Macaca mulatta: one gene and its partners. The protein of the gene in region 3 binds, or shares a complex with, the protein of the main gene of each other region. Links are inferred from orthologs where the notes say so. Each region holds a gene or a part of one and is shown on either strand. Other genes may lie near its edges. The genes, in order: CCNF, RB1 and E2F1.

The links.
Region 1: the proteins of E2F1 (region 3) and CCNF are in contact, whole or in part, in a cryo-EM structure (PDB 9CB3), measured with the Homo sapiens proteins. The link is inferred for Macaca mulatta from reciprocal best matches to the Homo sapiens genes E2F1 and CCNF. Residues at the interface, in NP_005216.1 of Homo sapiens: Gly84, Arg85, Pro87, Val88, Lys89, Arg90, Arg91, Leu92, Asp93, Leu94, Glu95, Thr96; in NP_001752.2 of Homo sapiens: Met309, Ile312, Leu313, Asp315, Trp316, Glu319, Val320, Met323, Arg349, Leu352, Gln353, Trp379, Leu380, Thr381, Asp382, Thr384, Asp504, Tyr505, Val508, Leu510, Thr511.
Region 2: the proteins of E2F1 (region 3) and RB1 are in contact, whole or in part, in a crystal structure (PDB 2AZE), measured with the Homo sapiens proteins. The link is inferred for Macaca mulatta from reciprocal best matches to the Homo sapiens genes E2F1 and RB1. Residues at the interface, in NP_005216.1 of Homo sapiens: Ala267, Pro268, Pro269, Glu270, Thr271, Gln272, Leu273, Gln274, Ala275, Val276, Asp277, Ser279, Glu280, Asn281, Phe282; in NP_000312.2 of Homo sapiens: Ser829, Arg830, Ile831, Leu832, Val833, Ser834, Ile835, Phe845, Ile848, Met851, Val852, Asn854, Ser855, Arg857, Val858, Leu859.

The regions. Positions count from the first base shown.
Region 1 is NC_133425.1:3,657,958-3,667,993, forward strand, and holds the start of CCNF (cyclin-F), read left to right. Parts: upstream 1-4,383; 5' UTR 4,384-4,414; coding exon of another isoform or gene 4,415-4,430; exon of another isoform or gene 4,431-4,497; intron 4,498-6,042; coding exon of another isoform or gene 6,043-6,197; intron 6,198-8,185; coding exon of another isoform or gene 8,186-8,292; intron 8,293-10,036. UniProt on the Homo sapiens protein: Substrate recognition component of a SCF (SKP1-CUL1-F-box protein) E3 ubiquitin-protein ligase complex which mediates the ubiquitination and subsequent proteasomal degradation of target proteins.
Region 2 is NC_133422.1:27,492,729-27,502,664, forward strand, and holds the start of RB1 (retinoblastoma-associated protein), read left to right. Parts: upstream 1-943; 5' UTR 944-1,086; coding exon 1,087-1,223; intron 1,224-4,468; coding exon 4,469-4,595; intron 4,596-9,936. UniProt on the Homo sapiens protein: Tumor suppressor that is a key regulator of the G1/S transition of the cell cycle. The hypophosphorylated form binds transcription regulators of the E2F family, preventing transcription of E2F-responsive genes.
Region 3 is NC_133415.1:86,443,153-86,452,617, reverse strand, and holds the end of E2F1 (transcription factor E2F1), read left to right. Parts: intron 1-1,992; coding exon 1,993-2,145; intron 2,146-2,814; coding exon 2,815-2,929; intron 2,930-3,024; coding exon 3,025-3,250; intron 3,251-3,374; coding exon 3,375-3,622; 3' UTR 3,623-4,675; downstream 4,676-9,465. Other genes in the region: NECAB3 (N-terminal EF-hand calcium-binding protein 3), read left to right, coding at 5,997-6,137, 7,936-7,960. UniProt on the Homo sapiens protein: Transcription activator that binds DNA cooperatively with DP proteins through the E2 recognition site, 5'-TTTC[CG]CGC-3' found in the promoter region of a number of genes whose products are involved in cell cycle regulation or in DNA replication.

The DNA of each region.
Region 1 (10,036 bases), on a different chromosome or scaffold from region 3:
ACCAAGGCATGGTCCATGACCACCTGCTGGGCCAAGACCTCAGCTGGGCAAAGGTGAGCGCACATTTTTGACGTGACCCACTTTCTGGGGTAACTCTGTCTCTCTCTCTCCCTCTCTTTCTCTCCTCTCCATCCCCCTGAAGTCATGTTCAGCACTGCCCTTGTCCTCTGCCGTCTCCATGGCAATGTTCACGTGGTTATCATAGAACAGAAGGTGTTTCCCCTGGAAGGGACTTTGAAGATTGGCTCCTCCTGCCCCCTCATTTCACGGAGAGGACAGCAGGCCCAGAGAGGGAACACCAGATGCCTGGGGACACACAGCAAGCCAGGGACACCCACCAGGCCTCTGACCTTCTGGCTCCATTCCCACCCAAGAGCACAGACAGCTGAGATCCATAGCACTGACTTCTTGGGAGGTGTTCTGGAGCAGCTGAAAGAGGGATGGGCCTCTTTGGGGCCGTGTCACAGTCCCAGAGGCCAGCCCTTCCCGCCTTCTCTCCTCCCCTGCGTGCGTCTGTGGGACAGCCTGGCCACAGCAGCCTCCTTCCTCCCCTCAGATGTTTGGCACTCTAGAGCAAGCCAAGAAGAAGTACATGCTGGACAATTAGTCAGGTCACCATGGAGGTCATCTTCCTGAGCTTTGCCTGCCCTGTGCCCCTGGTCCAAAGTGAAGACCAATGACAGCAAGCAGAGCAAGCGGGCTCCTCATCGTGCTCGCTGCCTCCCTCCCTGCCTCCCTCTCAGCTTTTCTCTCAGCCTCCCTCCCTACCTTCCTCAGAGCCTGTCCTGCTGTAATTAAGACAGACCAGTGCCAGGTTGGCCCAGGTGTGCATGGCCTGCCCTGGGTCTCCAGGGCTTACAGAGGCAGCTCTCAGCCCAGCTAGCTCAGCACAGGGCTCTCCCCCTAACTGCAGTGCACGGAGCAGAGTGGGGCCCACTGGAGAACTTAAGAGGCCCGCTGGGGAACCCAGGTGCGTTTCCTTAGAAAGGGATGCCTGAGTCCCACCTGAGTAGCCTGTGGTCTTGTTGAGACCTGGCTGTGGAAGCAGCCTCAGAATATCTTGCACATCCTTTCCAAAGGCGGCGGCCAGGGAGTGACCACAGTAGTAACCATGACCCGACCAGGTGCCAGCTCTGTGGACGGTCCCCTGCAGGCATCATGTCATTTGATCACACCACCCTCAGGCCCGGCCTGAAGGGGACTGTCCTGGTCATCCCCTTGCTCATGGGCAAGAAGTCTGCAGGGCAGAGGGAAATGCTTACCCAAAGCTTGCGTTCTTCCTTCTCTAGAATCCCCTGCCCAGATAATTTGTCCGTCCAGTGCACTCCCTCCCAGGGCAGGCCATGCTGCCCGATGCACCCTGAGACGCGAGGTGCAGCAAAGCAGCAGCTCTGCAGAACTGCGGGTGGAGTTTGGATGGGTGCATGGGGGTTTCCACACAGATGTGCAGATCCCTTGGAAAGCAGGATAGAGCCAGAAACAGAGAGGAGGGTGCCCATAGGCCAGGGTGGGGCTGGCTCCCATGGTCACATGGAAGAGTGGAGCTTCATGGAGACCATGATTCTAAACTCACACCTGGCCTCCCAGGTGGTAATGACACTGTTCTTCTGAAGGAAGGAGGAAAGAAATATTGACAAGCTTGCTAGCCTAAGTCAGGATGTTACAACATTTAAGTATTTGGATGTGTGGGCTTTCATCCTCTTCCCCAGCTCCTGCAAATTTAGGGCTGCATGTGATCCTATATCCACCCATGAAGTGAACAGCGCCCTACCTCCCACATGGGTAGACTGACTTAGAGGCAGCCAGTAACTTCCCACATCAACAGGCAGGGGAGCCAGGGTTGCACTGGGGCAGAGGTTTTTGCAGTGGGTTCCCAGCAGCAGCAGCACCATCAGGAAACTTGTTAAAAATGTAGGTTATTGGGCCCCATCCAAAACCTACCGAATCAGAAATGCTTGGGGCAAGGCCAGCAATCCTGTTGCAACAAGCCCTATAGCAGGTGTTCTGACCTAGCTCCAGCGTGAGAACCACTGAGCAGAGGCCCCATGGGCGCCAGACCATCGCAATGTCCACATGCAGATGGATGTGGCCACATGCCTTTGTCACGTACACTCTCCTATCCTCTGAGACGGGCTCCATTCAGCGGCCTTTCTCTCTCTGTGGAGCTCACTCTGCCCCTTGCCACAGGCCCCTCAGCTCCCCTCTGAGAAGTGCAGATGCTGGTCTCTGTCTCTTCTCAGCCAGGACTCAGAAAGTATCATGCACGAGCCTTGTCTATGCTTCCTGCACCCCTTGCCCAGAACAACAGCGTCACACACCCATGGTCACCAGCCCACCTTCTTCTCAGTCTTTGTTTCAGGTGACTGCCCCCTGTGATGAAAGCCACTCCCTGGGCTCCCACATCCAGCTGTCATTTCTCCCATGCCCCTCTCTGCCTCCACTGAAGGCCCACCTTCTCTGAATGTGGGATTTCTCAGGCTCCCAAGCTACTTCACTTTCCCTTACTCTTCCCTGCCCCTCACTACCCATGTCGTTTTCAACTGACACCTCATTCCACCAGGAATTTCCCTGAGCTTCTAACAGTTTAGACTTTTCCAACAAGGTCTCACCTTCCTGAAGCCCAATGGGAAACGGGCCCACACCCTGGAGGAGCCACTCATCACCCCAGGGCAGCCAGTGCAGGGTGCGGGCCGAAAGCAGGCATGGCTGCAATCAAGACAACTCCTGCTCCCTGAAAAAGAAATTTGCCTCTCCATATTGAAAGGAGAGTGATCACTACACAAAGCACAGGATAGAGCTAAACAACAACCTAGGGACCAGGGACGCTGTTCTAGATTCTAGAGGCAGCTGGTGTGGCTAATGTGGTCATGGCCGGTTCTAGTTGATTAATCCCTTCAAGATGCTATGGAAGCTAACCCTGAAAGTGCACCTCTGCCCTAGGGGGAGACAGTGGCAAAGTAGGAAACAGTAACCCAGGAGGACAAAAGTGAGAGGAGGGGATAAGAAATCTGGGAGCTGAGAACATGAGACATCTGGGGAGCAGGACCCAAACTTGCTCAGCCTGTTCTCTCTTCACCCTCCTTCATCCGCTTCCTGATTCCAGGACAGGGAATAGTCCCAACTTCCAGGCCCTCTCTGGGGCCACGGACTCTTCTGCGCCCTGTGCTGTGATCACCTGTTTGCTCTGTCTCTTGCTCCAGGCTGGCTGTAGCCTACACACCAGGGCTCCTGTCTGTGTGCCCAGGGCAGGCCCAGTACTTGAAGGGGTTCTATGGGGACTCAGAAGGATGGAAGGGTGCAGACTGAGGGAAGCGTGAGGGAGGGGTAGGCAGCCTTGGCCCAGGCCCCTGCCTTCCCCAGGAAAAGCCCCTCTGTCCTCCACCAGACACTCAGGAGGCTGCGTGTCTTCCCCTTGACAGCCTGTGCCGTGAAAGGGGTGGGGTATGGCTGATTCCTGAAGGACAGCTCGGATGAGCTCTGCCTAAGACAGGAGTGAGCAGATGTGACAGATCGCACGGCGAGCAGCTACCAGGTAGCAGCCGAGGAGGCGAGACAGGGGGCAGCATCTGGCCAAAGTGAGGGGGAGGGCTTGCCCCGGGGCTGGGGCACTGAGGCGTCCAGGGTGCGCCACGATTCGCGGGAAGAAGGGGTCAGCGTTCCGCGGGGGAGACTTCCAGCGCCAGCTCCGACCTCCTCTTTCCCTACCACGATCCGGGCCAGCATCCCCGCCCAGCAGCGGCTCGGCCACAAACCCAAGGGTCTCCACCTGAAGCAGGCGGCGGAAAGGATGGCCGTGCAGGCTGGGGGTGAGGGTCGCGGACCCAGGACCGACCCCGGGACCCGGGCAGGGCACGGCCTCGTTCTAGAAGCGCCACGTCGGGGCTGTGCCAGGCTGGATCACGGCCGCGACTGCGAGGGACGCCAAGGAGTCCTCTTTCCCCTGGCCGCAGGCATGCGCCTTCGGAGCCCATCGGGCACCGCAGATGCCAGTCGCCGGGGTCAGCGGCGAAGCCCGGACCCATGCGGCCGGGAGAGGACGCCTAGAAACCCCTGCGCGCCGGCCGGGAGCCGCGTTCCTCCAGGACCCCAGCCCCGCTGGGGAGGCGGGGCGGCCACGCGGATTCCACCAGTCAGCGACCAATGTTCGAATTCGCGTCCTGGCGCGGCCAATGGCGGGCGCCCGGAGCAGGCAGTGTGGGCGTGGAGGGCGGTAAATAAGGCGAGCCCGGGGCGGGACGTGGGCGGGGCAGGCGGCGGCCCCCCCGGGCAGGCCAATGGGAGGGCCGGGCGCGTTTGAAAACTGGGGTGGGCGGTGGGGCGGGGTCTGCGCCTGCGCGAGGGCTCCGCGCGCGCTCCAGCCGGGGCGCGGGCGCGCTCGCAGGCGGGCTCAGGCGACAGAGACGCGAGCGCGGCGATGGGGAGCGGTGGCGGTGAGTGGGAGGCGATGCCCGCCGGTTTCTGCCCCACAGCCGTTCTGCCTGCCCTGCGGGGCAGACGGTGGGTCCCGCGGGAGGGGAGGCCCTGGCGGCCTGAGGAGGGCCGGCTCGAGCTCTTTAACCCGGGGCGGGTGTCGCGTCCGGCGCAGGGAGCCCCCGCGGCCGGGCGCGCGGTTTAAATGCCCGGCGGGCGCCCGAGCCCCTCGTCGCCTTCCCTCGGGGCGACGTTTTCCGGCCCTTTGCCGGAGCGGCGATCGGGTCTCGGACGGCGATCGGGTCCCGGGGCGGCGATCGGGTCCCGGGGAGCCAAACACCAGCGCCTCCTGGTCGGGGTTGGGGCTGCGGAGCGCGTGGGGTCGAAGCGATCCCGCGGCCCGGCCCGGCCCTGACTGGGCCTCGGTCCAGCGGGGCCGTGGACCTAGCTCTGTGGAAAGCAGCGTTCGGCCCCGCGCGCGATGAGGCACAGGAAACTCGAGCTGTAGTTTGAGCTATTATCACAGTATCTGTCCGGGAGCCGGAGAATGAGGAATATTTTATGGAGAGCTCTATAGAATCTTTGAGAGTTCGTCGCCCTGGAATACGTTTGGCTTTTGCAGCTCTTTTAATTGCTGACAGGAAGACCCGGGTCGGGAGAGGGGAGCAAGGAGCAATTGCTAGGAAGTCCTGGTGGGGAGGGATTTGGGCCCACAGAGGGGAGTGGCGTTTCCTTTCAGGACTGGAAGAATGGATAGAAAGGTAGATTTGTAGATGGGGAGGCAGGATCCTGAGGTTCCTGTCTGAGGGCTTCTGTTTCTCTATGAAATAAGGGCTAAGGTCATCTGCTTAGAGTGAGGAAGGGGTTGCTGGAGTAGGAGTTAGAAAAGCCGGCTGTGGGAAGAGGAGAGAGCACATCTGAGAAGCATGGCTGGGCTGCCTGCCTGGTGGGTGGAGAGCCCGTCTCACCTTTAACGATTGCACCTGTAGACAGACCTACAGGTCTAGGTTTGTGTTGGGACCTGAGCAACAACCTTGCTGCGTAGCTGTCAACTCTGCATTCTACAGTGGAGGGCACACTGAGACTCTGCAGAGCTGACTTGGACGCACACTACCCCGGCCTCCAAGCCTGTGGCTTCTCTCCAGGGCTGACCCTTCTAATTTGGATTGAAAACCAGACTCTACAAGCCCACAGATCCTTATTGAACATTATGCACCTTGGTCATGTGTGCAAAAAGCAAAGATGTCCAGCAAAGGCCCCAGGGGTTTTCCTAAGAGTGAAATGGAAGGAAAACGGTCATCAGCCTCAGCAGCTTTTTCCCCTTCCTGACTGTCATGTGGGCTCTGGATCAGAAAGTTTCCCAATAGCCAAGTTACATGATATGCGCTATTTGCCATAAATATTTGTTGAATATTTGAAAATGAATGATCTCTTCTGTAATTTGTGCAATGCCACTCCTTTTACATAATCTTTGTTTGGGACAGGAAGCATAGTTCCGTTTTTGTGGCACAGGGAATCGTAACCATTAGATCATTTTCAGGTGTAACTTTTATCCTTTTTTTTTTCCCTTCAAGGGTATGTATATAGAATAATTTTTCGTCTTATCAACACTTCTGTCTTTTTTTCCTTCAGTGGTTCACTGTAGGTGTGCCAAGTGTTTCTGTTATCCTACAAAGCGAAGAATAAGGAGGAGGCCCCGAAACCTGACCATCTTGAGTCTCCCTGAAGATGTGCTCTTTCACATCCTGAAATGGCTTTCTGTAGAGGACATCCTGGCTGTCCGAGCTGTAAGTCCCTGGATGAAAACAGCATGAGCCCTAGCACTGTTACCATCAAGGCCTTGTGTTCTTAACTGTCAGAACAAAACTTTGACTAAAAAGGAGGTCACGGGCAGAGGCCGGGCACGGTGGCTCACACCTGTAATCCCAGCACTTTGAAAGGCCAAGGGGGGGGGGTGGATCACCTGAGGTCAGGAGTTCGAGACCAGCCTGGCCAACTTGGCGAAATCTGTCTCTACTAAAAATACAAAAATTAGGCGTGGTGTCTCATGCCTGTGATCCCAGCTACTAGAGAGGCTGAGGCAGGAAAATGGCTTGAACCATTTTCAAGGTTGAAGCAGTGAGCCAAGATCTCACCACTGCACTCCAGTCTCCAGCCTGGGCAACAGAGCAAGACTCTGTCTCAAAAAAAAAAAAAAAAAAGGGGGCAAAAGGAAACAAGGATGATATCATTACCATTACCATATGCTTTCTTTAAGACATTCTGATTACAGAAATTTCCATTCCTGTCTCCCAGCACACTAAAGTTGCCTCTGTTCATTACAGTGTCAACAGAAAAGTACCTTTTTTTTTCTCTGAGACAGAGTCTCGCTCTGCCGCCCAGGCTGGAGTGTGGTGGCGCAATCTCCACTCACTGCAAGCTCCGCCTCCCGGGTTCATGCCATTCTCCTGCCTCAGCCTCCCGAGTAACTGAGACTACAGGCGCCCGCCGCCACACCCGGCTAATTTTTTGTATTTTTAATAGAGTCAGGGTTTCACCATGTTAGCCAGGATGGTCTCAATCTCCTGACCTTGTGATCCGCCCACCTCGGCCTTCCAAAGTGCTGGGATTACAGGCGTAAACCACCATATCCGGCCAAAAGTACCCTTTTATGGCAGTGAAATTTGCATCCCTTAAAAGATAGTGTTTAAAAGAATAAGAAGGCCAGGCGCGGTGGCTCAAGCCTGTAATCCCAGCACTTTGGGAGGCCGAGACGGGTGGATCACAAGGTCAGGAGATCGAGACCATCCTGGCTAACACCGTGAAACCCCGTCTCTACTAAAAATACAAAAAACTAGCCGGGCGAGGTGGCGGGCGCCTGTAGTCCCAGCTACTCCGGAGGCTGAGGCAGGAGAATGGCCTAAACCCGGGAGGCGGAGCTTGCAGTGAGCTGAGATCCGGCCACTGCACTCCAGCCCGGGCTACAGAGCAAGACTCCGTCTCAAAAAAAAAAAAAAAAAAAAAAGAATAAGAATATATTCTTGAGGACAAATCCCATGTAACATTTAACACTTAAATGAACTCTAGGAGTTATTTTCTAGATATTGGAACCATAGGCTTACTTTGAGTGACTTAACCTAGAGTATACAGTGGATTCATGGGAAAATACCAGCAACAACCCATTTTCTGACTCCCAAAGTCACCTCCATTGCAGGTGTGACGCACTTTATGGACCCCAGGGAGTTCTGAATTTCCAGTGGCAGTGGAAACTTTGGTGCTTAAAATGCTCAACTGTGCTCCAGGTCCTGGCCTGGACACTTCCTGCGCTGGCCCAGCGCAGAGGTTCCAGGTTCTACCTGAGACCTCCATCACGGGTGGTGTTCTTTGCCCTGAGTCCCTGTGACCTGTTTCCACACTCCCACTAGCAAGGCCTCCAGTGGGGAAGCAGAAAACACATTTCCGTCCTGCCTGCCCCCGTTTAGAGTGTTTCCCCTGTCTTTGGGGGTGACACCTTTGCAGGGATGTGGAACCGTCTTTCTCAGCCTAGGTGTTTGTTTCCTCCTTCCAAGATCATTGTCCTCTGCCCTGCTTTAGAACCTCAGAGAAACTCGTTTCTGGGCTGTTTTATCTGTTCAAAGCGACAGTTACTTTCACACAGAGATTGGGGACCTCGACTACTTGGGATGGGGAGGGAGACAGGAGACCCTACATCTGTGTCTTGTCCTTAAGAACCTCCAGGCGTGGAGCCTTCGGGTGGTCCCTCCATGACCCAGCCCCGGCCCCTGTTGTTCTGCAGGTACACTCCCAGCTGAAGGACCTGGTGGACAACCACGCCAGTGTGTGGGCATGTGCCAGCTTCCAGGAGCTGTGGCCGTCTCCAGGGAACCTGAAGCTCTTTGAAAGGTATCTCTGCACCCTGAGAATGGCTCGGTCTTCTCCTGTCTTGGCCTCCCTATGTGCCAGTCTGTGTCTCACGGCCTGATTCAGTAATGATTTTCCTGTTGCTATCTCCCATGACATTGCCTCATCCCCTGGGGAGTGACTGAGGGGAGGGTGGCAGACCTCACGCATCAAGCCGCACAAGCCACACGCCTTCCAGCAGGCCGTGCAGTCAGTCATCCCTCACGCCACTGATCCATTCCCACATGACCCAGACATGAGTCCTCTTCCTGTGGAAACTTCACTCAGCCTTCCTTCCCTTTGGTCAAAACCATGTGATTTCTATCCTATAATGTTTCACTCACTGGCTGATCCCACCCCAACCTGCACCCCACACCCTGGCCTCCTGTCCACGTGTGCTCATGGTCCCAGGTACCAGCTGCCCTCAAAACAAACCAAGGAACCACAGTTCGGCAGGGATTTTTCTTTTTTGTTTGTTTGTTTTTTGTTTTGTTTTTTGTTTTTGTTTTTTTCTTGAGACGGAGTCTCGCTCTGTCACCAGACTGGAGTGCAGTGGTACGATCTCGGCTCACTGCAACCACCGACTCCCTGGTTCAAGCGATTCTCCTGTTTCAGCCTCCCGAGTAGCTAGGACTACAGTCACGCGCTACCATGCCCAGCTAATTTTTGTATTTTTAGTAGAGATGGGGTTTCGCCATGTTGGCCAGGATGGTGTCGATCTCCTGATCTCGTGATCTCAGGCGGGGATTTTCTGACAGGGATTCACTGTGGTCCTTGTCCACTTGAGTTGCCAGAACTCCAGATAGACAGCCAACAAGGGCAGGCAGCCGTGTTGCCGGGGCCATGCTTGGGCTGCTTCCAGGGGAAATGTATATATTTCTTATTGAGACATGATCCACACATCACACAGTTCACCCATTTAAAGTGTAGAACTCAGCCGGGTGTGGTGTCACACCTGTATTCCCAGCACTTTGGGAGGCCAAGGCGGGTGGGTCACTTGAGGTCGGGAGTTTGAGACCAGCCTGGCCGACATGGCAAAACCCTGTCTCTATTAAAAATACAAAAATTAGCTGGGTGTGGTGATGGGCGCTTGTAGTCCCAGCTACTCTGGAGGCTAAAGCATGAGAATTGCTTAAACCCAGCAGGTGGAGGTTGTAGTGAGCCGAGATTGTGCCATTGCACTCTAGCCTGGGTGATGGGGTAACACTGTCTCAAAAAAATAATAAAAAAATAAAATGTGGCCAGGCACGGTGGCTCACACCTATAATCCCAGCCCTTTGGGAGACCGAGGCGGGCAGATCATGAGGTCAAGAGTTCGAAACCAGCGTGAGCAACATGGTGAAACCCCGTCTCTACTAAAAATACAAAAATTAGCAGGGTGTGGTGGCACATGCCTCTAATGACAGCTATTCAGGAGGTTGAGGCAGGAGAATCGCTTGAACCCGGGAGGCAGAGGTTGCAGTGAGCTGAGATTGCGCCACTGCACTCCAGCCTGAGCAACAGAGCGAGACTCCGTCTCAAAATAAATAAGTAAATAAATCAATAAAATGTATAACTCATTGGTTTCTAGTATACTGAGAGTTGTACAGACATCACCAGTACTTAACTTTAGAACATTCTCCCTACCCCAAGAAGAAAGCTTGTCCCCATCAGCAGTCACTTCCCATTTTCCTCACAATCCTGGAAACTCTAGACAACCCCTAATTGATTTTATGTCTCTCTGGATTTGCCTTTTGTGAGGATTTCA
Region 2 (9,936 bases), on a different chromosome or scaffold from region 3:
TACCCATTTGAAAGGGCTGTTTCTTAGCTACATGCATGCGGGGCTTAACACCTAGATGACGGGTTGATAGGTGCAGCAAACCTCCATGGCATACGTATGTCTATGTAACAAACCTACACGTTCTGCATCTGTATCCTGGAACTTAAAGTTAAAAAAAAAAAAAAAAAAAAGGCTCTTCCTGGGGATTAAATAAGATAATTATGTAAGGTGGCCAGCACAGTTCCTGGTACACAGTAAATGTCAGGCCTGCCTGACAAACTTCTATTCAACAGCTACTGCTCCCCTGAAAATCTTCCTTAGACTTTTCCACGGTGCTTGCCGTTTTTACACCACTATCATCTTTTATTACACTACTATCCGTTCATTCCCCACAGCTCCCTCCCTTCCTTTCCCTAACCAGTGATCCCCCAAAAGGCCAGCAACTGTCTAACATTTTGTATCTTCTAGTGACTGGTAAAGTTCAGCATCTACTAGCGCTCCAAGTTTCTTTTTGTTTTGGCCGAGTTTGCAAAACGGATTAAGCGGGATGAGAGGGCGGGCGCCGCCCAGAGAAGGAGAGCGGCGCGCCCGCCGAGGGTGCACTAGCCAGATACTACCTGCGGGGCCCGAGCGTCTTCCCTATCAGACCCCGGGATAGGGATACGGCCCACAGTCACCCGCCAGACTCTTTGTATAGCCCAGTTAAGGGCAGCTCGGCTTGGAGGGGGTGGTTCCGGGTAGAAACACGTCCGGGCTGCGCCGGATGCTTCTGGGAAGGCTCCTGGACCCACGCCAGGTTTCCCAGTTTATCCCTTCCCATCTAGCGTCCCAGCCCGCGCACCGACCAGCGCCCCAGTTCCCCACAAACGCCGGCGGGCCCGGGAGCCTCGCGGACGTGACGCCGCGGGCGGAAGTGACGTTTTCCCGCGGTTGGACGCGGCGCTCAGTTGCCGGGCGGGGGACTGCGCGTCCGGTTTTTCTCAGGGGACGTTGAAATTATTTTTGTAACGGGAGTCAGGAGAGGACGGGGCGTGCCCCGACGTGCGCGCGCTGCGCCCTCCCCGGCTCTCCTCCACAGCTCGCTGGCTCCCGCCTCGGTAAGGCGTCATGCCGCCCAAAACCCCCCGAAAAACGGCCGCCGCCGCCGCCGCCGCTGCCGCGGAACCCCCGGCACCGCCGCCGCCACCCCCTCCTGAGGAGGACCCAGAGCAGGACAGCGGTCCGGAGGACCTGCCTCTGGTCAGGTGAGCGAGCAGAGCCGCCGCCGCCTCACGCGGGAAGGGCGCCCCGTGTGCGTAGGGCTGGCGCCAAGGCTGCTCGGCGGGACGCGTCCTCGCCGGGGGCCGAGTCCCGGCGTGAGGAGACGCCCTCCCTGCCCCCCGCCACCGCGGAGCGTCTGCAGAATGGTGACAGGATTTTGGGGTTGCGGGCGAGGGGTCTTGGCTTTAACTTGACACGTGTCGGGCGGGTGGGTCTAGGGTCCTGAACGAAGTGACAGGTGCAGTTCCCTCTTGTGAGGCTCAGAGGCAGAGGGTCGTTGCGAGCGTCCATCAGACGCAAAAAAATGAAAAATAAAAATACAAAAATGGTGTCTGTGGGAGAGTTCTTCACCGGTTGAGAACTGGAGTACTCCGGTGGTCGTCTGACTTTCAGTTTTGGTCTCACGCGATGCAACAGTTGGGAAGTATTTTCTTCTGGGCGTGCACTGCATCTGAACTCCATTCGTGGGAGAGGCCAACCAGAAAGCCTTGGACAAGAAGCACAGGGTCCTGAGTGTCCATTGCCTGCAGGATACTCGGCTCAGGAGCCTTGCGGCTTCTCCTTAGAACAATAATGCATCGAGGCCTTGGGGACTCAAAGCCATCTGTAGTGATTGATGGAATGTAACTCTTTAGAGGAACTGATACATGGGCAGAACTTTCGTGAGACGTTTACCAGAAGTGCTTGAAAGTTTCTAAACTTTTTTTTTTCTGTTGGATGAACTCTTCTTGCGTGTTAGTCGGCCTCAGCTTGTCTCATTATTACTTCCATTTTGCCTTTTGACTTTGAACCAGCAACGATCCTGGTGTCCCGTCTTTTTGCCTTTGTTTTTGGCACAAAATTAGTGGTTCTGTGCTCAAATGGAAATTTTCGTTTTCCCTTATTAAATGGAATCTAAATTTAAGCAAGTCCATGCGAATGCACTAGAACTTGAAGGGAAGTATTTATTGTATTGCATCATCTTACTTTTCTTGATTGTACTACTTTATGGTTAAATAGCTATGACTGAAAGAGTGTAATTGTCATTATTATTGTCAGCACTGGTTCTACTTTGAGATTACAAGTTCATTGCAGGGGGAATGGGACTTGTTTCTGTTTTTCACTATTTTCTCCCCTATTCTTGCCCATCACCAAATCCTTTCACCCTCACCCATTTCTTTCCACTCGGCAGACACTAACAGAATTAACGGCAGAAAAGATTGAAGTGGGATTTAGGAAATGGCCCGTGGAAGGCTATTAAAAATTTATATATTTAAATGGACTGTCTTATAGGTCAGTTAAAAACCATATTTGTTAAAAAACCAAAACAACAACAACAACAAAAAAATTAAAAACCACGTCTGGGGCATGTTCTGGGAAAAGACATGACTTTAGTTTCTGATTAAATTCTGATGTATCCAATTCTTGCAAATTTCCCTTTGGAAAATGCAGTAATGGCTACTCTAAAGAATTCCATGTTATGCACACAGCTTTAGAAGCATACTCTAATGTAGGGTAACCAGGAATATTGACGTTCTGACCACTGCTTGGAAAAAAGAGGACTGTTTCTTTCATTTTTTAACTCATTATTTTATATATTTTAAGTAATGGAACTATAAAAAAATTCTCTTATAAGTCAGATCCATACAAGATACAGTCTGTTCTTGATTATCCTTACCCACAAAGGGTTTCATTAACATAGACAATTGAACTCTATAAATTAACCAGCAAGGGTAGAACCACTGCCGTGCAGTCTGATGCTGAGCATCTTGCCTGGAGATGGAATCAGGGCTCAGTCCAACTGCACTTCCAGTGACAGATTCCATTCCTAATTTGAGAGTTGAGATCTTATTTCTGTTGCCTTATCTCTGGCCTAAGTAATGTAGCTGGAAGGGAAAGTGTCACTAGGAACAGCATACAACATTCATTGTTGAAATAATCAAAGGTTAATCATGTTTCGAGCTGGGCATGACGGCATGTACCTGTAGTCCATGCTACTCAGGAGGCTGAGGCAGGAGGATTGCTTGAGCTTGGGAGTTGGAGGCCAGCCTGGGCAACAAAGCAAGACCCCAGTCTTTAAAAAAACAAACAAAAAAGTTGACCAGGCATGTTGGCTCACGCCTGTAATGCCAGCACTTTGGGAGGCTAAGGTGGGAAGATCGCTTGAGGCCAGGAGTTTGAGAGGAGCCTGGGCAGCAAAACAAGACACTGTCTCTACAAAAAAATTTAAAAAAAAATTATCCAGTCGCTGTGGCACGCCTGTAAGCACATCTACTTAGGAGGCTGAGGTGGGAGGATCCCTTGAGCCCAGGAGTTTGAGGCTGCAGTCAGCCATGATTTCACCACTGCACCCCAGCCTGGATGACAGAGTGAAACCCTATTTCAAAACAAGAAAAAAAAAAAACAACGAATTATGTTTTGAAGGAGGAATTGGCAATCTAGAATAGTGGTCAAGGGCATGGATTATAGAGTTAGATTGTTAGGCTCACATGGTGGTTTACCTCTTACCGGCTGAGACCTCAGGTAAGTTCTTTAACTTCTCTGATTTGACACACATCTGTAAATGTCTACTTTTACAGATGAGAATACTTATCTAAAAGGGCTGATGTCAGGATTCAGTGAAACCATATGTTTAAGGTACTTTCTACAGGATCATAGTAAATACTCAAGAATTATGAATTATTCTTCGTACTATTCTTATTATTAGATGTCACATAGAAATTAGATGAATGAAAAGGAATTAGCCAACAAGAATTTATTGAATGCTTGTCTTTGTTAAGGAGAAAGGACAAAAATAAGCAGTCACATCATGTAAGATGTGCTAGTAGGGAGGTTATGTGAAACATTGATAAGAGTAGACTACAGCTTAACAAAGTTACTGGTGTTGAATTGTATAATATTATCTATGGGTTTTTATCTTCTTGTTATCTTTGTCCTATTTTCCCAAACAGCTTTAGCTGTTACATTTATTTTCCTTCACAGAAGTGTTTTGCTGCTCTGAAGTATATTTGACTTACCATGCAAGCAAATATTTTTCACTGTGTGGTATCCTTGTTTTGGAATGACCATGAAAAAGATAATCATGTTTAAATTTGAAGTGTAATTTTTTCTATGATAAAATAAGATCTTAAAGTATTTAATAATGTTCTCTTTCACAGTAGTGTTATGTGCAAACTATTGAAACAAGTGTGTACTGAATCAATTTGACTTATAAGTATATGCCAATTATATGATTATTTTCATTTGGTAGGCTTGAGTTTGAAGAAACCGAAGAACCTGATTTTACTGCGTTATGTCAGAAATTAAAGATACCAGATCATGTCAGAGAGAGAGCTTGGTTAACTTGGGAGAAAGTTTCATCTGTGGATGGAGTATTGGTAAGGATTTTCTTAAAATGTTTTGAAATTTTTTTTTCTCATTTTAAAAACAACTTCACATCACTATATAAAAATTGAAAGATAGAAGAATATAAAGACAATAAAAGCTAATAATAATTTCACTACCCAGAGGAAATTTACCTCTGCTAACATTAAACATGTTTGAGGCTGGGCACGGTGGCTCACGCCTGTAATCCTAGCACTGTGGGAGGCCGAGGCAGGCAGATTGCCTGAGCTCAGGAGTTTGAGACCAGCCTGGGCAACATGGTGAAACCCTGTCTCTACTAAAATACAAAAAAAAAATTAGCAGGGTGTGGTGGTGTGCGCCTGTCGTCCCAGCTATTTGGGAGGCTGAGGCAGGAGAATTGCTTGAACCCAGGAGGTGGAGGTTACAGTGAGCGGAGATTGTGCCACTGTACTCCAGCCTGGCAACAGAGCGAGACTCCGTCTCAAAAAAAAAAAAAAAAAGTTTGAAAAAAATCCCTCCATATATGCCTCCCACCAAACTATTTTAAAGCAGGTCTTAGTTATATTTTATTCACTATAATACAAGGACTTTTAAAAAAACACTGCCATACCTTATAAAATAATTTTTATACCTTCTAATATGCAATCAGTGTTCAGATTTCCTGATTGACTCAGAATTAGTTTTGTTAGAATTCAGGATCTTGAAAATATTTTGATATATTCCTTTCATGTTTTTCTTTGCATATGTATAAATGTATATGTTTAATAAAAGCAAATAATTACTAGAGTTTTATATGTACTGGGGCAATAGTATAAGAACTTTACATAGCCGGGCATGGTGGCGTGTGCCTGTAGTCCCAGCTACTTGGGAGGCTGAGGTGGGAGGATCATTTGAACCTGGGACGCGGAGGTTACAGTAAGCCAAGATCGCACCACTGCACTCCAGCCTGGGCAACAGAAGAAGACCCTGTTGCAAAATAAATAAATAAGTAAATAAACAAACAAACAAAAATAAGGCTGGGCGTGGTGGCTCAAACCTGTAATCCCAGCACTTTTCGAGGCTGAGGTGGGTGAGGTCAGGAGTTGAACTCTTGAGGTCAGGAGTTGAAGACCAGCCTGGCCAACATGGTGAAACCCCATCTCTACTAAAAATAAAAAAATTAGCCAGGCATAGTGGCAGATGCCTGTAATCCCAGCTACTTGGGAGGGTGAGGCAGGAGAATCGCTTGAACCCAGGAGGCAGAGCTTGCAGTGAGCTGTGATCATGCCACTGCACTCCAGACTGGGCAACAGAGAAGACTCCATCTCAAAAAAAAAAACACACACACACAAAACAATCAACTTTACAAATCTACAAATAACTCGTTTAAAAACCATTGAGATATGAAATATAAAATCTTTATTTTTACAGATGAAGACACCGAGTAGAGTGAGGTTGAGTAACTTGACCAAGGTCCCTAGGAAATAAGATCTCAAATATAAATTTGAGATTATACATGTAGTTATGTATAGTTACATGTAGTTACACATAGTTTTGCATTTTCCTGTTTTTTTCTCATATGAGCATTTTCTTACGTTATTAAATTTTTTTGTAATATAGTTTCTAGTGATAGTATAATATTTTAGCTATTGGATATATTTTAATTTGTTAACTCTTACTGGATATTTGGGTTTTTTCCAACGTTTTGATGCTATAAAATAATGTAATAAACATTTGTATTCGTAAGACTAATGCCTGGCACAAAGTGAGTCCTTGATAATTTGTTAAATAAATTAATGAATGAATCTCTGATTATTTTATTAGAATAAATTCGTATAAGATGAATTACTAAATCAAAAGCTATGAACATTTTTATGACTCTTGATGATTATTGGTAGATTACACTTCGGACAGATACTTTTAATGAATTTACTTTCTCAAAATAGTAGTATAAAAGTATATATGTTTTTACTGATCTGATTAACACAACAGAATGTGTTTATGTATGTCCCATAAGAAAAGTGTTTAAAACCATTAAATAAAATCTCTGGCAGTAAAAAGGAGAAAACAAGTGTCATAATTTCCAAAGAATTGAACATAGTCTCACATTTCTTATCTAAAAAGAAAGGAATACTGAAGTATCTTGAATGTATGACTTGGGTATTATAATCCCCAGGCATCTAGTGTATATTTTAACTGACTTGGGTACTTCATGTACAAAGCTGTTTTTGTGCATATACAATTAAATGGAATCAGAGCTCCTTCACTTTTCTCTTCCTAAAATACTAGATTTTTGGTGTTCTGAAATTTTGGGATAGCTGATTATAGAGAGTATTAGTGAGTATACATACTGTAGTTTTCAATTTATAAGTGCATTGTGTTCCAAATCTGTTTGTAAGTTTGATATAGTAGTTAGGTTTCCAGCCTAGTTCACATAACTTATTTTTTTTGTACTAAACTATAAAAATAATAGTTTTAACAGTAGAGGCTCTTTTGAGCTTCAGAATTGAATACATATTTAAGCAAATATTACTGCTTTATTACCCTTTTTTCATCCTGGCTTTGTCTCTACCTTCCCTGGGAACTGGCCCAATTTAAATCTTATTTCCTAATGGAGCTCATGATGGGGACTAGGATGTGTGAAATTATTTATGGCTAGGTACTGGAGGAAGGTAAGAAAGGAATTTCTTGTTACTTTTGGGATTTGAGGTATGCTTTTGAAGGGTATAACAGAAGATGATGTCCTGTTGTTGTGTTATAAATCAACAGACTTTTCCTTGAAATATGATTTTAAGTGACAGTTAAGTTTTTGAGGGTTGGCCTGAGAATTTAATGTTCATTTATATAATAATATCTAAGGGAGAATGTGATAGAGTGTGTTCTAAGAGGCACATGTAATGACAGAATGAATATGTTTCCAATGCAGCTATTCTAGTGGCAGTTGTCTGTCTTCTTTGAAACAAGAGGAGGAATATTGTCAAAAAAGGAAGCCCCTTTTTAACAATAGAAAGTAGGTGATGTTTATTGGGATAGAGGATGGGTTAAGAGCAAGGATTAGGAGTCAAACAGATATACCATGTCCTAACTCCATTACCCTGAACATGTTATCTACAATTCTCAAGCCTTAGTTTTCTTATCTGTAAAAGGGACTGACAATAATTTCTGGATCTTGGAGTTATTGTGCAGATTAAATAAATTAATGCATATAAAGCTCTTATTAGAGTCAATGAGTGTGTATATTAGGTCTTGGAAACAGAATAATTTTACTTAAGAAATACCCCAGAAAATTTTATCATTAATGTAATTTTTTTGGAGAATTTAGGATATCAGTATAAAATGGTTATAATTTTAAATGCATTGTTGTGATTTTGATGCAGTATGTTTGTTAAAACTCTTATTTTTAAGTACTTTAGAGTCAGAAAAGTTGTTTATGCATACATGAAAGCATGTATTAATCCCTTTAAAGTTTGTGGTATTTTGTCTAGAAAAATGTTTTTTTTTAAAATAAATATTTAGTGAAGTGTAATAATAAAGATTAACTTTGTTCATAAGGTTAGATTGTGTTCATGCTGCTTATAGCATGTGAATAGGACTTTCCATTAAGAAATTGGCTAAGGTGCTGTTCATATTGTGACTTAAGGTGAATCAGCTGTTAGAATTTTGGTGTACTTTCTGCATCTTCATTGGCAGTGTGGTAGAATGGAAAATGCCTTGGACCTCAAGGCAGAAAACTTTGGTTGTAATTATATTGTAGCTATATGATTTTAGGCAAATTGGTTAATTCTGTGAGTCTCAGTTTGCTAACCTGTAAGGCAGAAATAATGCCTGAATATGAACCTCATAGGCTTTTTGTTATACATACGTATATATGTATATGAAATATATGGGTATACACATATCTCAAAGAGCTTTGGGATATATTGCCCTTGATAGAGCCACTTATTTTTGTGATATGGTGGTTATATTTTAAATAAATACAGTCATGTGTTGTTTAACAATGGGGACACATCTGAGAAATGTGTCATTAGGTGATTTCATTGTTGTGTGAACATCATAGCATGTACTTACACAAACCTGGATGGTATGGCCTATGACACACCTACGTTGTGTGGTATATAGCCTGTTGCTCCTAGTCTGCAAACGTGTACAGCATGTTACTGTACTGAACATTGTAGGCAATTGTAACACAATGGTAAGTATTTGTGTATCTATACATAGAAAAGGTAAAGTAGGTCATCCATATCCTTACTGATTTTCATTCTGTGTATTTTACTAATTATTGAGGGAGAAATATGAAGCTTCCAACTATAATTAGAATGGCCTTTTTAAATTCTGTTTTTTATTAATGTATTTTTTATTTTATTTTATTTTGAGAGAGTCTTGCTCTGTCACCCCGGCTGGAGTGTGTGGCACGATCTTGGCTCACTGCAACCTCCGCCTTCCGGGTTCAAGCGATTCTCCTGCCTCAGCCTCCTGAGTACCTGGGATTATAGGCATATGCCACCATACCCGGCTAATTTTTGTATTTTTAGTAGAGACGGGGTTTCACTGTGTTGGTCAGGCTGGTCTTGAACTCCTGACCTCGTGATCTGCCCTCCTCGGCCTCCCAAAGTGCTGGCATTACAGGCATGAGCCACCACACCTGGCCTTTATTAGTGTATTTTAAAGCTTTATTCTTGGGTGCATACAAGTTTAGAATTTTTATGCCTTCTAGGTAAATTGGTACCTTTATCATTATGCAGTGTGCTTTTTTATCCAAATTTGTATCTTTTGTTCTGCAGTGTCCACATATCCATTCCACTTTTCTTGTGATCACTGTTTACATTATATATCTTTTACCTTCATTTTGATTTTAACCTGTTTATTTTTTATATTTAAATGGATTTTTGTTGTTTTGTAATCAGCATTCATTAAAAATTTTTAGCTGAATACTTTTTACTTTTGTTAGGGTTCCCTGTGTCTCTTCCTTTCATGCTGTGCCACAGATGAGCCATTATTTATATCTTTTCTCTCACTGGAGGTTCCTTTTTTTAGGGGAAACTAATCTGAAATATAAGCAAAGGATATGTTGATATCAAGAAAGGTTATGTTTTTATTCCTTATCTGGCTTGTTCTTGTTGTGAGGGTGGGAGCAATACTCTGCAGCTTTCTGCATTCTAGGAAGAAGTGGAATTTTACATTACCATTTGCTTCCTTTACAGGTTTGCCCTGATATTGTCTATCCATAGGACTAATTAAAACTATGCCAGACTCCTATTTTAAACCTATCCATTCAGTCTCAAGTTATCTTTTTGCATTGCCTCTCACATCTGTCCCTTCCTTTCTCTTACCAGCAGTGCTTGTTTTTTACTGTTTGCTTTGGTTTTAGTTTCCTTTTTATTTTTTTAATTTCAG
Region 3 (9,465 bases):
GAGGAGCTGGTAGTAATACCCACTGTGGCTGCCTGCATCCCCATCTTACAGCTAGGGAAATGGGCTCAGAGAGGAGAGGTAGCTTCCCTGAGATGATAGATGGTAAAAAGCACACAAATGTTACATATCCACCTCACTTGTAGCTTTACTTTTTTCTTTTTTCTTTTTTTTTTTCTTTGAGAAGGAGTCTCGTTCTGTTGCCCAGGCTGGAGTGCAGTGGCGCGATCTTGGCTCACTGCAAGCTCCGCCTCCCAGGTTCACGCCATCCTCCTGGCTCAGCCTCCGGAGTAGCTGGGACTACAGGTGCCCGCCACCACGCCTGGCTAATTTTTTGTATTTTTTTAGTAGAGACGGGGTTTCACCGTGTTAGCCAGGATGGTCTCGATCTCCTGACCTTGTGATCTGCCGATCTCGGCCTCCCAAAGTGCTGGGATTACAGGCTTGAGCCACCGCGCCCGGCCTCTACTTTTTTCTTTTTAGATGAAGTTTCACTCTGTCACCCAGGCTGGAGTGCAGTGGTGCGATCTCAGCTCACTAAGATCACCTGAACCTCCACCTCCCAGGTTCAGGTGATTTTCCTGCCTCAGCCTCCCTAGTAGCTGGGGATCCAGGCGCCTGCCACCACGCCCAACTAATTTTTGTATTTTGTAGTAGAGATGGGTTTCACCACGTTGGCCAGTCTGGTCTCGAACTCCTGATCTCAGATGATCTGCCTGCCTCAACCTCCCAAAGTGCTGGGATTACAGGCGTGAGCCACCACGCCTGGCGCAGCTTTACATATTTATTCATCTGGGTTGCCACCATTCAGATCAAGATAGGAGCATTTTCAACACCCTAGAAGGTTCTCTTGTGCCCCTTTCCAGTCATTGCCAAGCCTTCATACCGCCAGGTCACCACTATCCTGGTTCTCATGCCCTCATGAGGTCTGTCTGGCATAGATGTTTTATTTTATTTATTTATTTTTTTTGAGACTGAGTCTGGCTCTTTCGCCCAGGCTGGAGTGCAGTGGCCGGATCTCAGCTCACTGCAAGCTCCGCCTTCCCGGGTTTACGCCATTCTCCTGCCTCAGCCTCCGGAGTAGCTGGGACCACAGGCGCCCGCCACCTCGCCCGGCTAGTTTTTTGTATTTTTTAGTAGAGACGGGGTTTCACCGTGTTAGCCAGGATGGTCTCGATCTCCTGACCTTGTGATCCGCCCGTCTCAGCCTCCCAAAGTGCTGGGATTACAGGCTTGAGCCACCGCGCCCGGCAGATGTTTTATTCTTTTACTTGTTTTATTTTCCCCCTCCCGCCTTCGCCCCAGTCATCCTGCTACTACCCTTTCTTTGATACAAACACCTGCCTTTTCATTTTTTGGTAGATTGTTCCATTCTGCATCTTTTGTGTTTTTTTTGGTGGGGTGGGGGTGCGGTTTGAGACAGGGTGTTGCTCTGTTGCCCAGGCTGGAGTATGGAGGCACAAATACAGTTTACTGCAGCCTCAACCTCCTGGGCTCAAGCCCTGTACCTGTAGCTAGGACTACAAGTACATGCCACCATGTCTGGCTAATTTCTTTAATTTGGTGTAGAGGCAGGGTCTCACTGTGTTGCTCAGGCTGGTCTCAAACTCCTGAGGCTCAAGCAGTCCTCTGGCCTCAGCCTCCCAAAGTGCTGGGATTATAGTTATAAGCCACCAAGCCCAGCCTTTTCTTTTTTTTCATTTGACAGCATGTCTTGGAAATGCTTGTGTGTGTGTGTAATATTTCGTGGCATGTCAGTTCCATCATTTATCCCACCCTGGTTGAGGGACATGAAGGTGTTTATATTTGGGCCAGACTTCAAGCCCATGACACTCTGATTTGGAGCCCAGCTGAGGAACCAGACCCAGAGAGAAGCAAGGGCTTGCCTGGGCCTCACAGAACAGAGGTGGCAGCAGACTCTGTCCTGAGGGCCAGGGCTCCTGGCCAGAGGGGCCAAGTGCTGCTAACCCTACCCTCCCTGGTGCCTCCCCACAGGGGTAGCCACACCACAGTGGGCGTCAGCGGGCGGCTTGAGGGGTTGACCGAGGACCTCCGGCAGCTGCAGGAGAGCGAGCAGCAGCTGGACCACCTGATGAATATCTGTACTACGCAGCTGCGCCTGCTCTCCGAGGATACTGACAGCCAGCGATATCCTTGGATTGGCCGTAGGGTGTGGAAGGCAGGCTTAGCAGGCAGGGGCTCCACCCAAGTGGGACTAGAGAGGCTTGGATTCAGGAGAGGGCTCTGGTTGTTTTGGTTGCAAGTCCTGGCTCAGCATTTTCTCACTGTTGTGACGCTGGATAAATTGCTTAACCTCTCTGGGCCTCAGTGTTATTTATAAAAGTGAAATAATAATATCCAATTCTGAAATTGTACAGATTAAAAAAGAAAAGTGGCTAGGTGCAGTGGCTCATGCCTGTAATCCTAGTGCTTCAGAAGGCTGAGGTGGGAGGATCACTTGAGCCCAGGAGTTTGAGGCTGCAGTGAGCTCTGGTTGAGCTACATCACTCCAGCCTCGGTGACATAGCGAGACCCTGCCTCTAAAAAAATGAATTCCCAGCACCAGGCCTGGAGTTGTGTTGAACATTTTACATGGAATCGTTCCCGGTAGCTATTATCATTACCTTGGGATTCAATGGGTAGAGTGATTCCATTATATAGATGTGGAACTTGAAACTCAGGAATGAGGTAGGTTTTGAACGGGTAGGAGGTTGGGAGGATAGGAGTGACTAGGCAGGTGTGAGCCCTGCCTTGTAAGCTGTTGGAGTGAGTGACCCCCTAGAAGTCAAAGGTCATGTGGTCCTTGACTCTGCCAACCCTGGCCTATGTGACGTGTCAGGACCTTCGTAGCATTGCAGACCCTGCAGAGCAGATGGTTATGGTGATCAAAGCCCCTCCCGAGACCCAGCTCCAAGCCGTGGACTCTTCGGAGGTGAGATCTGGGAACTCCAGGCCCAACTGGGCTGGGCTGGGCTGTGCTGGTAGTCACCTGGGCCTCAGTTTACCCTGCCTGCTGTTTCCACCCAGACCTTTCAGATCTCCCTTAAGAGCAAACAAGGCCCCATCGATGTTTTCCTGTGCCCTGAGGAGACCGTGGGTGGGATCAGCCCTGGGAAGACCCCGTCCCAGGAGGCCACTTCTGAGGAGGAGAACAGGGCCACTGACTCTGCCACCATAGTGTCACCACCACCATCATCTCCCCCCTCATCCCTCACCACAGATCCCAGCCAGTCTCTACTCAGCCTGGAGCAAGGTGGGTGATGGGTAGGTGGGTGGGGTGGGGCAGGGCCCCTCTTCTGGGGGTGGGCAGGCACGACAGCCCCTGCCTTCCTTCCTGCTGGGGCATCCCCGGCCTGTGATGCTCCCCGTCTCTCCAGAACCGCTGTTGTCCCGGATGGGCAGCCTGCGGGCTCCCGTGGACGAGGACCGCCTGTCCCCGCTGGTGGCGGCCGACTCGCTCCTGGAGCATGTGCGGGAGGACTTCTCCGGCCTCCTCCCTGAGGAGTTCATCAGCCTTTCCCCACCCCACGAGGCCCTCGACTACCACTTCGGCCTCGAGGAGGGCGAGGGCATCAGAGACCTCTTCGACTGTGACTTTGGGGACCTCACCCCCCTGGATTTCTGACAGGGCTTGGAGGGACCAGGGTTTCCAGAGATGCTCACCTTGTCTCTGCAGCCCTGGAGCCCCCTGTCCCTGGCCGTCCTCCCAGCCTGATTGGAAACATTTAATTTATACCCCTCTCTCCTATCTCCAGAAGCTTCTAGCTCTGGGGTCTGGCTACCGCTAGGAGGCTGAGCAAGCCAGGAAGGGAAGGAGTCTGTGTTTGTGGTGTGTATGTGCATGCAGCCTACACCCACACGTGTGTACCCGGGGTGAATGTGTGTGAGCATGTGTGTGTGCATGTACCGGGGAATGAAGGTGAACATACACCTGTGTGTGCACTGCAGACACGCCCCAGTGTGTCCACATGTGTGTGCATGAGTCCATGTGTGCGCGTGGGGGGGCTCTAACTGCACTTTCGGCCCTTTTGCTCTGGGGGTCCCACAAGGCCCAGGGCAGTGCCTGCTCCCAGAATCTGGTGCTCTGACCAGGCCAGGTGGGGAGGCTTTGGCTGGCTGGGCTTGTAGGACGGTGAGAGCACTTCTGTCTTAAAGGTTTTTTTCTGATTGAAGCTTTAATGGAGCGTTATTTATTTATCGAGGCCTCTTTGGCAAGCCTGGGGAATCAGCAAAGGGGAGGAGGGGTGTGGGGTTGATACCCCAACTCCCTCTACCCTTGAGCAAGGACAGGGGTCCCTGAGCTGTTCTGCCCCACACCGAAGGAGCTGAGGCCTAGGTGATTTATTTATTGGGAAAGTGAGGGAGGGAGACAGACTGACTGACAGCCATGGGTGGACGGATGGTGGGGTGGGGCCTCTCCAGGGGGCCAGTTCAGGGCTCCAGCTGCCCCCCAGGATGGATATGAGATGGGAGAGGTGAGTGGGGGACCTTCACTGATGTGGTGGGCAGGAGGGGTGGTGAAGGCCTCCCCCAGCCCAGACCCTGTGGTCCCTCCTGCGGTGTCTGAAGCGCCTGCCTCCCCACTGCTCTGCCCCACCCTCCAATCTGCACTTTGATTTGCTTCCTAACAGCTCTGTTCCCTCCTGCTTTGGTTTTAATAAATATTTTGATGACGTTTGGGTCGGGTTTTGGGACTCTGTTGGGAACAGTTCGGGGCGGGAGAGGCCAAGGTTGCTGGGGAAATGCCCATTCTCCGCTTCCCTTCTCTCCGTCCCTGCTCGATTTGATTTGAGTCTCAGAACTCGAAGAAAGGTCAGCTTCATCGCTATTTTGGTCCTAACTCAAAAGCCGATCCAGTAAAGGTTTTTGTGGAAAGCCAAGAATGCTACTCAGTGCTGCCCGAAGTGCAGCGTAATGAGTGGCCTCTCCTTTTCCCAGCCCCAGAGGCCACTGTGCTCAGTTTGCTGTCTTCCAGACGTTTCTGGACATTAGTAAACATGCAACAAATGACAGTGGACTGGTTCTGTGTCAGGTATTTAGCAGTTCTGGGGACACGAGTGTTACCTCCCTTCTTGGTGCTCTCAGGGTCTGAAGGAGATCTACTTAAATGAGAAAATCAGGAAGTGCTTGAGTTCAGCGCTGTAGAATAGGTAGGAGTTAACCAGAGGAAGAAAACAAGCGAACACGACGGGCAAAGGCCGTGGGCAGGAGGGAGAGGGATAGAGGACCGGAGAAAGTAGTGGCTGCGGTCCTGAGGTGAGGGTCAGAGTGGTGCTCCTGGAGCGGGGCGTTCAGTCTTAAGCTTTATTCGGGGGCCAAGGAGTCACTGGAGACCGAAGTGGTACCTCTTTCGCATCTTAAAAGCTCCCCCTGGCTGCTGTGTGGAGAACGGGTTGAAGGGAGGGCCAAAGCCACCGAGGGGAGGGGAAAGGGCCGCGCTGAGTGCCAGAGAGGGCGGGCGTCGGGATGCCTGGGAGTCGGCCACACGGACCTGTGGGCTTCCTCTGCGCCAGCCCCCGTTGTAAGCACTTGACACTGAATGAGTCCCAACAATCCCATAGGGTGTCTACCGGTACCATTTTTGCAAATGAGGATACAGACGCCCCGAAAGGTGAAGTCCTGGTGGGTTTTACCCACTCGTATCACCCTGACTCTTCGGCACTGGCTTGGTCACCCTGTCCCTCCGGGTGGGCGCGCAGCCCCTAGGTTCTGCTCCCGGCAGGCCGTCGCCGGACCGGAACCCTCGGGCACCTCCCCCTCCGCCGTGGCCGCGGAAGCGCGGAGGCCCGCGACGCTGGAGTTGGACCTTGAGGCGAGGGAACCCGGCGCTCAATCTCCAGACCCGGAACCCGGCGTCCGCGGGGGCGGGGCGGGGGCGGGGCCTGAGCCCGCGCGTCGGCGCCGGCGCCAAGGGGCGGCCCCCAGCCCCACAGAGTCCGCCGCGGCGTCCAGGGTCGGGAGCAACCGCAGCCGAGCCCCAGCGAGCGGGCGGCGTTGCCATGGCGTGCGTGGGGCTGCTCACCGTGTGCCTGCTCCGGCCGCCCGCGCCCCAGCCCCAGCCCCAGTCCCCGCCCCAGCCCCCGCGGCACCCGCAGCTCGCGCCAGACCCCGGGCCCGCCGGACACGCGCTCTTCCAGGACGTGAGTGGGCGCGGGCTGTGCTCGCGGTGTCTCCCCGCCCGAGTCTCTGTTAGTCTCACCCTCTGGGGTTGTTCGGGCCCCGCCGCTGTCTCTGGGTCTCTGCCTCTCTCTCTGGCCCTGCTGTCTGTTTTCTCTTGACCTCTCTGCCTTTGTGTCCCCTGTTCTGTCTCTCTGTCTCGTCTATGTCTCCGCTTGTCCCTGCTCCAGTGTCACTACCCCTGCTGCCCCCCACCCCTCAGCCCACCCTACTTGTGTGTCTGGTGTTGGGGGGGAGCTGTCGACAATCACAGCAGCCGTCACCCCACTCTGTAGCAGCCGCAGGCTGGGCTGACTGGGGAAGAGGAGCCTGGAAGCACAAGGGTCCCCTCACTTCTGACTCTAGTGCCGCCCCCAGAGTCCTTCAGGCCCCACTCCAGGGCAGCAGAGTCCTACAGTTGGTAAGGATTGCACAGAGTCACCCTCCCATGGGACCACGGGTGGCCCTGCAGCCCCCATGGGCACCAGCCACGGCCCTGAGCCCTTTCTCCACCTGTGCTACGCTCTGTCCTGGCCCCCTCATGCCCCAACTCCAGAGGGAGGCAAAGCTGTCTCCCGCCCCCTTCCCACTGCCCCTAGTGACTCAGCACCTTGACCACATCCCTGGCTGGAAGGGACCTGACCCTCCCTCTTCCCAGGTAGGAAAACCAAGGCCTGAGGGGATATGTCCCAGGTCAGTCATGGAGGCAGGGGAACAACAGGGTGACCCCAGGTGTCCCCATTCCCAGCTTAGCACCCCTCCCCGCTCCCAAGATCTCCATCTACCCCACCTGGGCCTCCCTGGCTTGCTGTGTGTCCCTCAGCCAGTGGCAGAGCTTCTCTGAGTTAGGCTAGAGGTTAGAGTCTTTCTGAGCCCTGCTGACGCTGAAAAAACAGGATCTTGGAGGGGGTTGGCGTTCAGGACCTGGAGTTCCTGGGGGCTCTCAGCCCAGGCTTGGCCCACCCCTGCTTGCCAGGCCTGCCAGTCTCCCCTTTGCTGGGCTGCTTTGGGTGACCTGGGAGCAGGTCACTAAGAGAGATGGGGACCTGTCTTGACTCTGCTCCTCTTTGCCTCTGTTGCTCTTCATCTTCACTTCATAAATGAAATCTGCTGACCTTGCCTTCTGCCACCCCCACTCCCCCTTGGACTTGTGTGTGTACACACACGCCTGCCAAAGGTCCTCACTGTCAGCCCCATAGGAAGCCCCAGCCCTGAAAGAGTTAACCCCAGCTGCTCCTGATCTATTTGCTAGTGGGTAACTCAGACACCTGCAGAGACAGAGTAGCCACTGCCTGCTGTCTTCAACAGCATGCAAGGAAACAACTCAGAGAGGGCAGCTGGGATAGACCATGGCCACACAGCAGAGCTCGGGGCTCAGGTCTAGGACGGCTGTGCAGGATTCCTGGGCCGCAAGCCGGCCCATTTCCTCAACCTTCCTCATGCTGGAACCGTGCCAGGGGCTGAGGTATTAGATAGAACTTGGGCTGCACTCTGGGTGTGGGAGGTGGGGACGCAGGGAACTGGCCAGGAGCACCCCCAACGAGGCCAGGCCCTGCAGGAGAAGTGAGTGGAGGTGGCACCCGCTGCGTGCTCTTCCTGCGCCCTGCTTGCCGGAAAAGCTCCTGCAGGGCTGAGCTGGGCAGGGGGTTTGGGACCAGGCTGGGCAGGAGGAAAGGCAAGGCAGGGGGTAGGCCAGCCAGCTGGGACCCTGTCGGGTTGAGTGGGGGCCTCTGGCTTCCTGGGTAGCACTCACAGTTCCCCCCATGTCCCTTTGTCCTCTAGGTTTTCCGCAGAGCAGACAAGAATGGTGAGTGTGGCTTCCCCTGGGTCCCACAGTGGGGCAGGGTGGGAAGCATCCAGAAGGCCCAGGGAGACTTGGAAGGTTGGGTGGGAAGTCAAGAGTCGAGACAAATCTTGGAGGCCCAAAACAGGAGAATCAATCAAGGCGTCCTTCCCAGAGGAGGTGCTGTTCTCAGCCAAGTTTGGCAGGATGGAGAGTGGCGGGAATGTGGTTTGGCCAGGGGCTAGAGGTAGGGGCTGACTTTCACACAGCACCCTGGCACGGTGATGGGCACTTCCTTTTCATGGCCTCCTGTTGTCCTCACAACCACCAGCTAGATTGGAATTCACCCTGTTTCATAAAGGAGCAGAGGCCTAGAGAGGTGAAGCAGGTTGCCTAAGGTCACACAGCCTTTAATTGATAGGCTTGAACTTGGGTCTTTGCAGTGTTTAGTCCCAGGCTCCTTGTGTGAGGCACTTGGAAGAGTGAGGTAATGGAGGTGAGACCTTTTTGGAGATTTTACTCAGGTTTTTAGAGGGCTCAGTAACTTGTCACGTGACCAACCATCTGGACCAGGGAGGTCTTGGAGGACGCAACTAAACCCACGCCTTGGGCAAGGATAAAGCTGGGTCCAGTGCCAAAGGAGTCGGCTCCTCCTGCCTTGGGTCCCGGGCAGTCTCAGACCCTGGTCTAGGAGAACCTTGGAAGCTAAAGCACGAGCCCTAGGGGACCCATCCAGCAACAGGCTGCTCCTCCTAGGTGACCTGGAGCAGCCCACTGTACCCTGTGTGGCCGGTGGAGGGTCTGAGCGCTGCAGTCAGCCTGGGACGCCTTTCATCTGGGTCTTCATGCCCTCTTGTGTTTCATCCTCCTAGAGACGGGGTCCTGTCCCCACTCCTTGCCCTTCTCCGTGGGTCTCTTCACATTGATGGGGGTTGTTTGTCCCAACCCATTGATCAGGACACATGCCCTCACTTGGACCAGGGCATTCTGTCTGTGAAGGTTCAGATTCTCCTCCGGCTCAGCTCGCCACATCCATCTGCTCAGAGACCTCACGTATCATTCAGACCACATCCCATGTCTTTGTGCCACATAAGTGCTCCCAGCCTTTGCTCACATGCGCCTGTGATGGGGAGCTCCTTCCCTTCTGAGCCAGCCTGCTGCTGCCTACAGAGGCTCCAGCTAGTAGAAGGTTCCATCTGCCTCCCCGTGGCTTCTCTGTGAAGGTCCTGGGTCCACAGAGTGGAGGTTCCTTGTGCCCTGTAGTGAGGCTGGTCCCCAAATCCTTCCAGGTGACGTCTAGGCCCTGCCACACTGTGGCCATGTCACAGCCTGTTGCTTGTTTTTTCGTTTGGCAAACGTTTACTGAGTTCCTACCCAATGCTGTGTACTGCCCTGTCCCTTTGGTGCCTGCAAAGTAGGTTCTGTTGCCTTCATTGGACACCTTTGAGGACCCCAGTCCTTTTGTCCCAAACAGGCTCCCCACTGAGCTCAGAATCCCATCCCACCTGGTTAGGTGGTTGTCAGATGCT